3 linked regions of the Caenorhabditis elegans genome follow. The protein of the gene in region 1 purifies or fractionates together with the protein of each later gene. This does not show direct contact. Each region holds a gene or a part of one and is shown on either strand. Other genes may lie near its edges. The genes, in order: mafr-1, F48C1.6 and sss-1.

Region 1 (3,418 bases):
CATGAAACAATACTACGTCCATTTCAAGCTCTCAAAATCTAACAGCACAGTTTCAAATTCAAAAACACGAAATGATTGAGAAATAGAGATGCTCTTTTCAGATGGATTACTTTAATTCAATCTCTGCAGCTTTACTTAAACAACGCAGGTAGGAGGCAGATACTGTCGATCAGAGCGGAGCATTGAGCTTCACGTAGCCTGGCTGTCAAATTGTTTCAGTTGTCCATCCATGCACCATGTCTCCTCCGCCGTCGACACAGTAGGGTTTCCAGTCACTTCCAGCTACTTGTTCCAATCCACATCCTGACGTTAATTTCCAATCGATTCAGTTGTACTTCCTGAAATAAACACCAATATGACATTATTTGTAAATGTATTGAGGCAAGCCATCTACAAGCTTATGAGTTTAACAACAAACTTACAAAATAGCTCCCACTTTGGAGTTGTCTTCTTTTTCCTCTGTCTCCTCTATTTATCCTTTGAACGTTTCGTCTTGAGTAGTTTGTCCGGGGGGTTTTTGTGACATATGCCAGTATGAGTATCTGAAAAAAAAGGTTCATACTCTCAATACTCAAAAAGCTGTAAACTTTATGTTTTATAACATTTTAAAACATCAGATTTACACCTCTGACCCGCACTCACTTTAATATTCCGTTTGGTTGAAGTGAACTGGTTTCCAATTCACACACGACTGTAGGTAAATCGGCTCCATCGTCCGAGGTCCACTCGGAGGTTCCTTGCATACTCATATCTTCGTTCACAGCATCGGAATTGTTGAATTGGCATCATCTTCCCATCCTTCTTGGCAGACCATTTGTTGAAAAGTTGAAGACTGAACACTATGACTAAAACTACTTGCTCATATACCAGTCCTTATCAAGATGTACGTGGTCGTTCAAATAAAAATATTTTTTTAAATTGTTTTCCGTATACCGTATATCCTCTATTAGTAAGACGTGCAAAACTAATTTTCGGACACCTAATTTGATGCAAAACTAATAGAGGGTGCAAAACTAATTTTCAAACAGGTTTTTTCTCATGTTTCCCATTAAGTTATAGCAAATATCATCAATTTCAGTAACACCTTATGAACCAAAATGGACTAATTAATTCCACTAAATTCTTGTATTGAATATAAAACTTGTGAATCTCATTGCCTTTTGAAAATTTGATTTGAAACTTGTTAATTTTTTAATCTAAATATTCCTGATTCTGTCATAAATGGTCGTGTTATTTCGTTCTCTAGACCCCTGTGACATCAATTATTTGAAAATCTAGTTTTGACTATAGTTTTTAATTGCAAAACGACTTTCGAAGCGAAATTTAACAAATTTCATTTTACCCCCAAGGTATACGGTAGACAAGTACGCAAACACCAACAACAATATTGCACACATTACACAGAAGTTGCCGACAGTTTGCTAAATCAATGGGATTTTTTTACAGCAGTTTTTCCTTTCTTCACGATAAATCGTTCTGAAAAAGTAATTAAAATTGTTATTTTAGTGTAAAATTTAAAAATTAAATTATTGTTTTCAAAATGCGCGATTTTAAATATTGCAATCTTCATTACGTAGGATTTTTCCGCACTTGAATTCTCCAAATGTTCTCGAAATTTATTGAAAAGCTTTAGAAGCCATGAAGTTTCTGGAAAGCTCCGAAATGGATGTTTTTTCGCAGACACTCGTTACGGGAGCAATCGATTGTGTTATTGATTTCAAGTGAGTCATTTATCTCAATATTAAGAATAAAACAAATCGTTCAATTTCAGATTAGAAACGTATTCGTCGAAAATGGTTACTAGCGAAAAGAAACAATGGAAATCGAACGATAAATCTGTGATATGGGGTGAACGCCAGCCTCTAGGATCTTACGAGGAAATGGTGATGAGTGCATCGCCCAGTGTTGGTCACAATCATCGGCTTCGCCATTTATCGGAACGCTCGTGCTCAGGAGGATCAGACAACGATTTCGACGTGAATGACTACCTGATAAAAGACTCAATTTCGCGAAAGAAATTGTATGATCTGACTCAAGTTCTGAACTGTTCGTTTCCGGATCACGATTTCAGTAATGCCAACAGTGAAGCGTTTGCTCTCGTCAATTATTCGGTTAGTAGCTTCTTACAGCTAAATAACATTAACGCGCATGATTTTTCAGGACCTGAGCCGTCTCGTTGATATGAAGCTTGAGACAATTGTCAGAGACTATCACGTGAGAAGAGAAGAGCTATGGGGAATTATTGATGAGGCAATTGTGCCCGGTGACTGTCAAATATACAGGTATTCCGTTTGATTTGAGAGGATATTTTATATAATTTCCATATTTTTCAGCTTCAAGTCCCAATTCGAAGACGATCCGTTTACCGAAGACGGTTGCATTTGGGCACTTGCCTTCATTTTCTACAACAAAGGACTCAAACGTTTTGTTCTTCTCACAATTCGTTGCCTATCGAAACAAGCCGACACGTCCATCGAAATTTTCCCCGATTTCAGTGAAGACGAGGCGGAACCACAAGAGAAATAGAGTGCAGATTATTCATGTAGAACGCTTAGAATAGACTAATATTCAAGGCGATATAGTATTAGTCTTGCCGGCCAAGCCTCTTTCCCTCTTGTAGTTCTTCTCTTGTAAATAGATTCCATTTCTCATCAATCCTCAACCTCCTCCTTCACCTCTCGAGTTCGCATTTAATTTGCCACTTCCCACACACCTACCGCTAGATTAAAGGAACAAATACTTCGATTCTCATTCCTTTTCGTGGCTCGTAGATATCAATTTTCACAAAAACCGCATCATAAATACATAAAATTGTTTTTTTTAAGTTAATCAAAATCGATTATTTTTTGGTTTCAACCGTTCTGATATTTTAATCAATTTTTCCTCAAATTTATTTGGTTAAGTTCAGTTTAATTTATTTTCAGTGAAATAATGCCGAGCACATCAATGATCGAAGATCGTTCTGAGATCGAACGTCGGCGATTCGAATATCTCGATCATCCGGCAGATATTCAACTTCACTCTTGGGGATCCACAATGGAAGAAGCCTTCGAAGCATGCCTCGTATCAATGTTCGGCTATATGACGGATTTGGCCAAGGTTGATGAGGTAATTTGAAATTGAATTAGATCGCCTCTTGCGCCTTTTAAGAATTTTTCCACTTTCCTCTGTTTTGTCTAATTTTTCTTACTTCACTTGAAATATGCTTATGAACATATGAAATTGCAATTTAAATCGATATCTTGTAGAAATTTTAGCTTTTGTTCGTGTATTCTCTAGTTTTGAAGCTGCTCCCAGAAAAAAGCTCAATTTTTGCCTTCTTGACTTCATTTTCGAACAAAACCCACAATTTCTACAAGAAACTGATTAAAATAAAATTTTAATTTTGCATTATTTCAGATGTACGAATTCTACTGGA
Region 2 (3,600 bases), 5.3 Mb from region 1:
TACATCCGATTTGTGCAATTTCCTGTTGATATTAAGAGAAAATGCAGAGATCTCAGACGAAAAGAACTATGGCTTCAAAAGAAAATCATAACAATTTCTGCAAAAAATGTATAAACTCCTGTTGAACTTTTTGTGAGACGAAGACAAACATTGAAAATATTTGCACTTTTTGTAGATTTTTTTTATTTTTTTTATTTTCAACAATAAGAAAATTCAACAAAATAACAAAACAAATTGAGAGAAATATGAGTTATTGACCGTAGAAAGTACGCTTGAACAGCATGCTGAAAATGAGCCAGATGCAGTGTAAGAGCAGAATAAGGAAACTCGACAAATTCAGACCATCGTCGTCGTTGAATTCATCAGCCAGGAACAAAGAGATGTATTCCCAAAGTGGTATCACTTTTTTAGAGACCCACATTCCAAAGTTGACGAATTCGGATTGTTCGGTTTCAGCGGAAATTACAATACAAGTAAATGGTCTTGCAACTCTCCAAGTTCTTGCCAATTTGAGAAGAATATGCTTCATCGGGTTATCAGTCCTGATGAGAATCTCGACGTCAGACGCGGAACTGGAAATAAATGTTGTATTATTCACATTTTTATGGAATTTTGCTTTAATTGCCCTAAAATATTTTTTTGTGCTGTTTGATATTATTTATCATTTTAATTCTTACATGATTCTGTTCTTGAAATGAGATGAGAATTGGGTAATAATTTCCTTGCTCATTGAAGTTAGCTGAAATCTCGTTCCAATTGCAGCATCTGTCTCGATCCATTTCTAAAATTCAACACATTTTTAAACACATTTATGGAATTTCGAAATATGTACATTTGCAATTTTCCAGATAATATCTTTACTCTGAACATCGCGAATTTGCAACAATGATGCGTTGGAAACCTGAAATCTAGGATGGTATAATTGAGTTTTTGTTCGAGTGAGCATACCGATTCTATACTTATCAGTTGATCTATTGGGAAATTTTTACATCCATGTCCGTCAAGATAAATCGACTTTGAAGTGTAATTGAGCTTATTGACAAAGAAAAATGCTTCTTGAAATTTCAGCAATACTCCACTGAAGCTTCTGATGCTCAATGACTTCGAATTGAGAGCATCTTGTAGAACTTTGCTCCAATCAATATTCAAAATTGTTTCAATCGAAAAATCATTGATAGTTGCATTTTTGAGAATGAAGACAAGCAGTGGGACGATTGTTTCATTAAATCGAAGACGGTTTCTCATATGGACCACACATTGTTCATGATTTCCAGATTTAATCGTGATTTTTTGAGTGTCGAAACTTGATTGAATAATTGTATTCATAGGATACGGCAAAAGACCTTCGATTCGAACCGAGTCGAGTTTGAAATTGTGTGAATCGACGAGGATCCTCTCGGTGCGTGAAACACTACGCATTATGAATCTGAAATGTATTTTTAATTATTATTTTTTCAATCATGTCAATTACCTTGTCTTAAAATCTAGATGTTTCATGCATTCCAGCTTTATCTCAGGTGGAAGCTTGTTCCAGTTCTCGAAGGACTCAAGCAGCTCGACTTTTGCAGTGCCAGAACAGTTTCCCATTATATATTTCTGGAAAACTATTTTTTAACAATTTTCTTTAACGATCGAATTAAAAATAAAATACTTCAATTTCAATTTTCGAACAAACTTTCGATTAAAATATTTGGTGGGTACGGTAGCCAATTTGGTCTGAAGGAGAGAGACTGTGGGGATAAGAGAGACGCAGCAACTCGTCTGCATTTGTTACGTGACGATGTTTGCAGAATTTGTCAATTTGTTTTTTCTCGAAATTTTTTGTTTCGATTTTACTTTTTTTCAATTAAAATTAAAGTGTTGCTTTTATTTATTTGTTTTAATGCTGTATTGACTTATTCACTTGTTATATTATTACGAAATTTGTCACAGAACTGCTTTTAAAACACCCTCTAACAAATGTTTCCGCGATAGAGCGAACTTTCACTCTTTTTAATGTTTCTGTTTTGTTTTCTCAAACCAATTTTATTACTTTTGATTGCAGAAATGTCTTCATCCGACGGTTTTATGTATTCTCAACCGACAGGAGATTCTTCTCAAAAGGTTGAGCTCAACAACGAACAGATTCATGCTTTGCTCAACAAACTCTCCAGTGACGAACAAAAGGAATTGACCGAAATGATGAGAACTTGCACCACGGAGGTATTTCATCTCAGTTTCATGTATTTTAATTCTTTTTCTTTTTCTAGGTTACAATGACACGTGGATTGCCGATAACTGGAGCAATTCTCGGCAGTTTGTATTTAGCTCGTACTCGCCTTCCCGCTCAATATCATTTTGGTCCCAAAGGATGGCCATTTTATGCTATAATGGGGATTGCGTATGTTTTTTAAACATTTTGTTGCTGAAATAATTTATTGATTTTTCAGTTCTCTCACTGCTTCAAATTTGATGTTCATGGGCACATGCCGAGATCGTATCAAGCCAAGAATTGATCAACTATGGAAAAAAGTAAATTCAATTGTTAATATATCTGATCAATGGCCAATTTCAGTACGACCTCGCCAAGTCATCGACAAACTACGAAGATATTCGCCGCCAAAATAGAGGAGCCGGCGTAGTTCCTTTAGTGCGAATTGATGGCGAAGCAGCAGCTCAGAGAGTTGAGGTAAAACATATTACTGAAAGCTGAAAAAAAGAAATTCTAATAATCAAACGTAAAATTTTCAGAATCCGAAACCAAATTCATATGATTACACGTACAGTGTTCCTTCTTCTGGCGATAATTCTTCCTACGACGGTTCATTCTCTTCATACAAGACAGAAATAGGAGAGACATCAGAATTCCAACAATCTCCACGAGCTCGCCGCCCATCTCCACCAATTCCTTCGCCATACGGTGTTGAAGATTCAGGATTCATGTCTGGAACACCTTCTGGACCGTCGTCAGACAGCAATCAGGGACAAGGATACACTTTTTCGTAGATTTAATTCATTTTCAATGGAATTGCTTACATAGATTTTATTTAGTGAAGTACACACATCGCCGGTTACATTTTTCTTGTTTTGTATCATAAATTATTTTGATTTTTTTTAAACATTTTTTTATTAGAAATTTTTTGGTTAATTCCAAAAATATACCTTTTGAGAATATATTGAAGATTTTTTTAATTTCCAAAATATTTATTTTCAGATTTTGATCTGAAAATGTCAAAATTCACGATTGGACCTTTACCGTGCAAGAATCCTGAGAGTTTTACGAAGTTGTCCGCAAAAAAAGATGTAAGTCAGGTTTAGTTAGTTTCTGGATATATTTAAATAATAAATTTCAGACAGTACGGAAAACTGAACCTGTCGAAGTGGTCTGTCGGAATGTTGAAGGCGAGAATAATGGAGAATGCTACAAAATAAAGGCACCAAAAACTCCATTCATTATCAATCATTTAGAGAAGAATTATATTCCGAAGGTAATTATTAAGTTTATTATAAAAATTTTTAATTTCATCGAATTTTCAGCCAAAAGAAACTACGAAAAAACGTCGAGCAGGCGAAGCTGGAGGTGTGAAGCGAGAACATTCAACGTCCGAATCCGATGATCAA
Region 3 (3,644 bases), on another chromosome or scaffold:
CTTCTGTTTCAAAAGAGCAGCATTTTTTTCAAAATGGATTCGCCAAAAAACCTGCATTTCAAAAACATTTATGCACCCTTAAAATAGTGTGAAAAATTGCAGATTTAGGCAGATCATTCTTGTTATTCAAGGCACTTCTTAAAGGGCGCGGCGAGACCACTTTGGAAAAACGCAGTTAATTTACGATATGTCCATCAGAAACCTCAGAAATTAACTGACTCACAATGCACACATTGCCACCGGAATGGAGAATACTGCGCACATCGCTAATTAACAGTTATCGAATACCTTAAACGCCATTCGAGATTCGTTCACTGACGTAATTGTGTGCGTGGAACTTCCTCCTGACGCTGGAAATGTGGCAGATGGAGGTTCGATGGTTAGCATGTTCAGTTGAGAAATGAAAATGATTGAAAATAAAATGAGTTTACTTTGTTTTGAAATTCGAATGTACCCACGTGGTCCAACGTTACAAAGTTGGCAAATTTCAGTGAACTTCTAGACAGTTTTATTAAAAAGCCATTTCGCATGTTAGTAGGAATTGCAACAAAAAATTTCTACAGGAAAGGATGTGGAGTCAATCGAATTTTATCTAGTAGAAATAATAGGATTCGTGAGCCCGGTTTGCTTCGATTAATTTGTGTACATTCTTTGTATACTTTCGAGACTTGGTTATATTTAAGCATGGAATTTAAGCCAGCTGATCAAGAGGAAGAGCTCAAGTGAGGCTACATTTTGTTTCAAAGAAAGAACAAGCATTCATAAAAAACTCTTTTATTTCACAAGGACTCTATGGGTTGTACTCAATTGGGAGGTTCTTACGACGAGCCATACCGTCTCCCTGGAACCATTCACGACGGAATTGCTTGGCAGCACCATCCGGGGTGTTGGTCCACTCAACAGTGATACGGTCGTTGTTGGTATCCTCTTGTCCGAAGGCGAAGGCATCGCAGGAAACAGCAAGAAGCACAGCTTCCTTTGGGTCGAGAACTCCACATGGTGGATCAACTCCAAGTCTCTTCATATTGGTGGTCTTGATACCATATCCAATACGCCGAGCCGATGAGTTGATCACCTTGATGTGGTAGGTGTGCTTGTCATCGTATGGAGCATTGAAGACGATCTTGGTACCCGGTTGAGTTTGGATGTCTCCTGGTGGGACGGATTGGGCCATGGTCGTTCGATGAAGGAGTTATGAGAACTCTATGAAGATTATGGCAAAATCTTCCAAATTTATAGCAGCCTTCTTATCTCTGCCCTAAATCTGGAAGTTCATCCAAAAATAGGAGATCACGTTGAAATTTGAAAAAAAATCAGTTTTAGCTAGTAGCTATTTTGAATAATTTCATCAATTTACACTTGTTCTGATACCTTTGAGTAACAAAGGAAACCTATTCGTTTTCTGTGAGATGCTAATTATTAATCTACTTGTTTTGTTTTTGTTTTTTGTCTAGAGGATAAGGAAATGAAGACTATTTATTAAACTAATTTTGATCTAGTACTACCTCTTCGTTTTCTGTGATATGCTACTTGTATTAAGCTACTTATATTGCTTTTTTCTTTTGCACTTAGGTGCAACAAAAATACTAAAATTGATCTAGTATTGCTTGATCTATTTTGATCTAGACCAGAAACGGTAACTTTCGGCAGTTCGGGTTGGGGCCACCTCCAACTCTATTGTAAGCAGACCAAGCAGGCTCACGATAAGATCAAGTTCTTCAATTTTCAGAAATTCTCGATTAATATTATAATTTTTTTGAACTTTTGGCTCATAAGGCAAACACTATACATACATATACAACGAATTTCAGCAATGAAAGGATACATTTATTTTTGAGAATATTGTCCAAAAAATGTCTTTGTCGCATTTTTTAAACCTTAAACCTTAAATCTTCAGGTGTTGCTATTTCCCAACTTTTGAAACATTATATCAGGTAATAAAATAAAAAGATTTCAATTCTAATTTTACGTGACCGTTTGTTCATTTTCTACGCTTAAACTTAGGCCATCAAGATAAGACTGATTATATACAAGCTTGAAATCATAAATCTACTTATTGCGAATTTCATCGCTCTACTAACCAACTACAATCAACTCTACTAACACTATGGTCAAGAAGATTACTGTCTACACTGCTTTTGGACAATTCCTCGAGATGATCGAGCGTCAAGCCGAACAGAGAAGGGAAACAGTTCCAGTCATTTGTCCGATCGTTGAAAAGGCTCAGCCAAGGACAGCTTTGAACAAGGTTTGTACAACGAGCTGGATTTTAAAACCAAGGGTCATATTTTAGGTTCAATCTTGCCCAGTTGTTCCAACAACTGCAAGAGTTACAGCGGAGATCAAGAAGAGCATTAGCTGCCCATTATTGGCTCTCCAAGCAGATCAACTGATTGAGGTGACCGTCTCCCCAGTCCCAACAACTACAGAATCAAAAAAGATCAATGAGGCTGCGGAGCTTATGGCCAATTTCTGGATGAGCTTTAATTGCCTTGATAACGAGAAAGAACAGATGGAATCGATTTTTGAGAAGATGAATGGATTGTTTGCTGCACCCTCCACAACATCTACGGCATCACTTTTCGGGAAGTACGAGGGATTTTTTGAGAAAACGGAGGTTGCTACGGAAGATATGAACACGTTTTTGTGGAATTCTCCAGCTCATCCATCTTTCCCACAACTTCCAGTTTTCGTCAAATCTCCAATCGACTCGATGAAAATATATGGAGCAGTTAATCATAAATTCGATATTTCTGAAGATGGTAAGTTTTTTTGAAAGTAGTTTTTTTTAAATATTTATTAATTCTAGAATCACTCCCATGCACGGCTCAATCTGTTTCATCTCCAATTTCTCCATCTTCTACCACCTCGGATTCTTCAAGTGAAACAATCATTCTTGGACCTGGACATCTTCTTCAGGAAGTCTACTTGCAGAGAATGGTCATTGAAGAACAGAAGAAGATCATTGATAGCTTTCATGAAATTCAGAAGCTCAACAAGAAACTGGCTGCTCTTCAAAATAACTTTACAGCTTGATCTTCTTGACAAATAAATACTTCCACTGACTTTTTGAATCTTGATCTTTTGGGAAAACACTAGCACATCAGAAATATTTTCCTGGATAGAATTTTACTCTGCCCTATGCTCTCTCTCTAAACCTCTCTCTATAACTCTCTCTCTATAAACCTTTTGCAACCTTGCTTGCAGAATCCTGTGTCTGCCAGGCAACCTACAATATCTGAAAAGCAAGGAAAGCAAAAGTAAAGTGGCCAATAAATTGCCGTCAACAATATGAAAAAGGTGTGGTGTATCCGTTTGGACAGGTTCATTCTAATTAGCTAGTTTCTAGAACCACCCTCTGGAAATATCTGAATTTTCCAGCTGTGATATGGTCGTTCCTCCATGAGACTTAGAATTCGCTCTCAATAAATTATAGATGTGTGTGGTTAGGGACATTATTAACAATATTGATCAGTGTCATGCCATTAACGAGAAGGGATTATCTGGAAAAGGAATCGAAACGGGGGGTTTTTTTAAAGCCAATTTTGGATAATTGATTGTTCTGTTGTGAATTAAACCTCTTCATCTTTTTCTCAATTATTTTATTGTCATGCACAAATTGTTAAAAAAATTTAACCAAACTT

Evidence for each region.
Region 2: the proteins of mafr-1 (region 1) and F48C1.6 purify together in Caenorhabditis elegans (affinity purification with western blotting, with the first as the bait; one study listed by BioGRID). This does not show direct contact.
Region 3: the proteins of mafr-1 (region 1) and sss-1 purify together in Caenorhabditis elegans (affinity purification with western blotting, with the first as the bait; one study listed by BioGRID). This does not show direct contact.

What each region holds. Positions count from the first base shown.
Region 1 is NC_003279.8:10,621,540-10,624,957, forward strand, and holds mafr-1 (Repressor of RNA polymerase III transcription MAF1), read left to right. Parts: upstream 1-1,633; 5' UTR 1,634-1,638; coding exon 1,639-1,721; intron 1,722-1,771; coding exon 1,772-2,111; intron 2,112-2,160; coding exon 2,161-2,282; intron 2,283-2,333; coding exon 2,334-2,526; 3' UTR 2,527-2,822; downstream 2,823-3,418. Other genes in the region: arch-1 (Protein archease-like), read left to right, coding at 2,932-3,108, 3,400-3,418.
Region 2 is NC_003279.8:5,317,718-5,321,317, reverse strand, and holds F48C1.6 (OCIA domain-containing protein), read left to right. Parts: upstream 1-2,016; 5' UTR 2,017-2,046; coding exon 2,047-2,202; intron 2,203-2,249; coding exon 2,250-2,380; intron 2,381-2,429; coding exon 2,430-2,511; intron 2,512-2,554; coding exon 2,555-2,668; intron 2,669-2,730; coding exon 2,731-2,985; 3' UTR 2,986-3,098; downstream 3,099-3,600. Other genes in the region: fbxa-145 (F-box domain-containing protein), read right to left, coding at 251-572, 678-781, 833-901, 949-1,426, 1,472-1,587; F48C1.5 (DET1- and DDB1-associated protein 1), read left to right, coding at 3,208-3,282, 3,333-3,467, 3,517-3,600.
Region 3 is NC_003282.8:9,892,161-9,895,804, reverse strand, and holds sss-1 (Sperm-Specific family, class S), read left to right. Parts: upstream 1-2,055; 5' UTR 2,056-2,107; coding exon 2,108-2,248; intron 2,249-2,293; coding exon 2,294-2,762; intron 2,763-2,809; coding exon 2,810-3,036; 3' UTR 3,037-3,066; downstream 3,067-3,644. Other genes in the region: ssp-32 (Sperm-specific class P protein 32), read right to left, coding at 289-387; msp-77 (Major sperm protein 77/79), read right to left, coding at 791-1,174.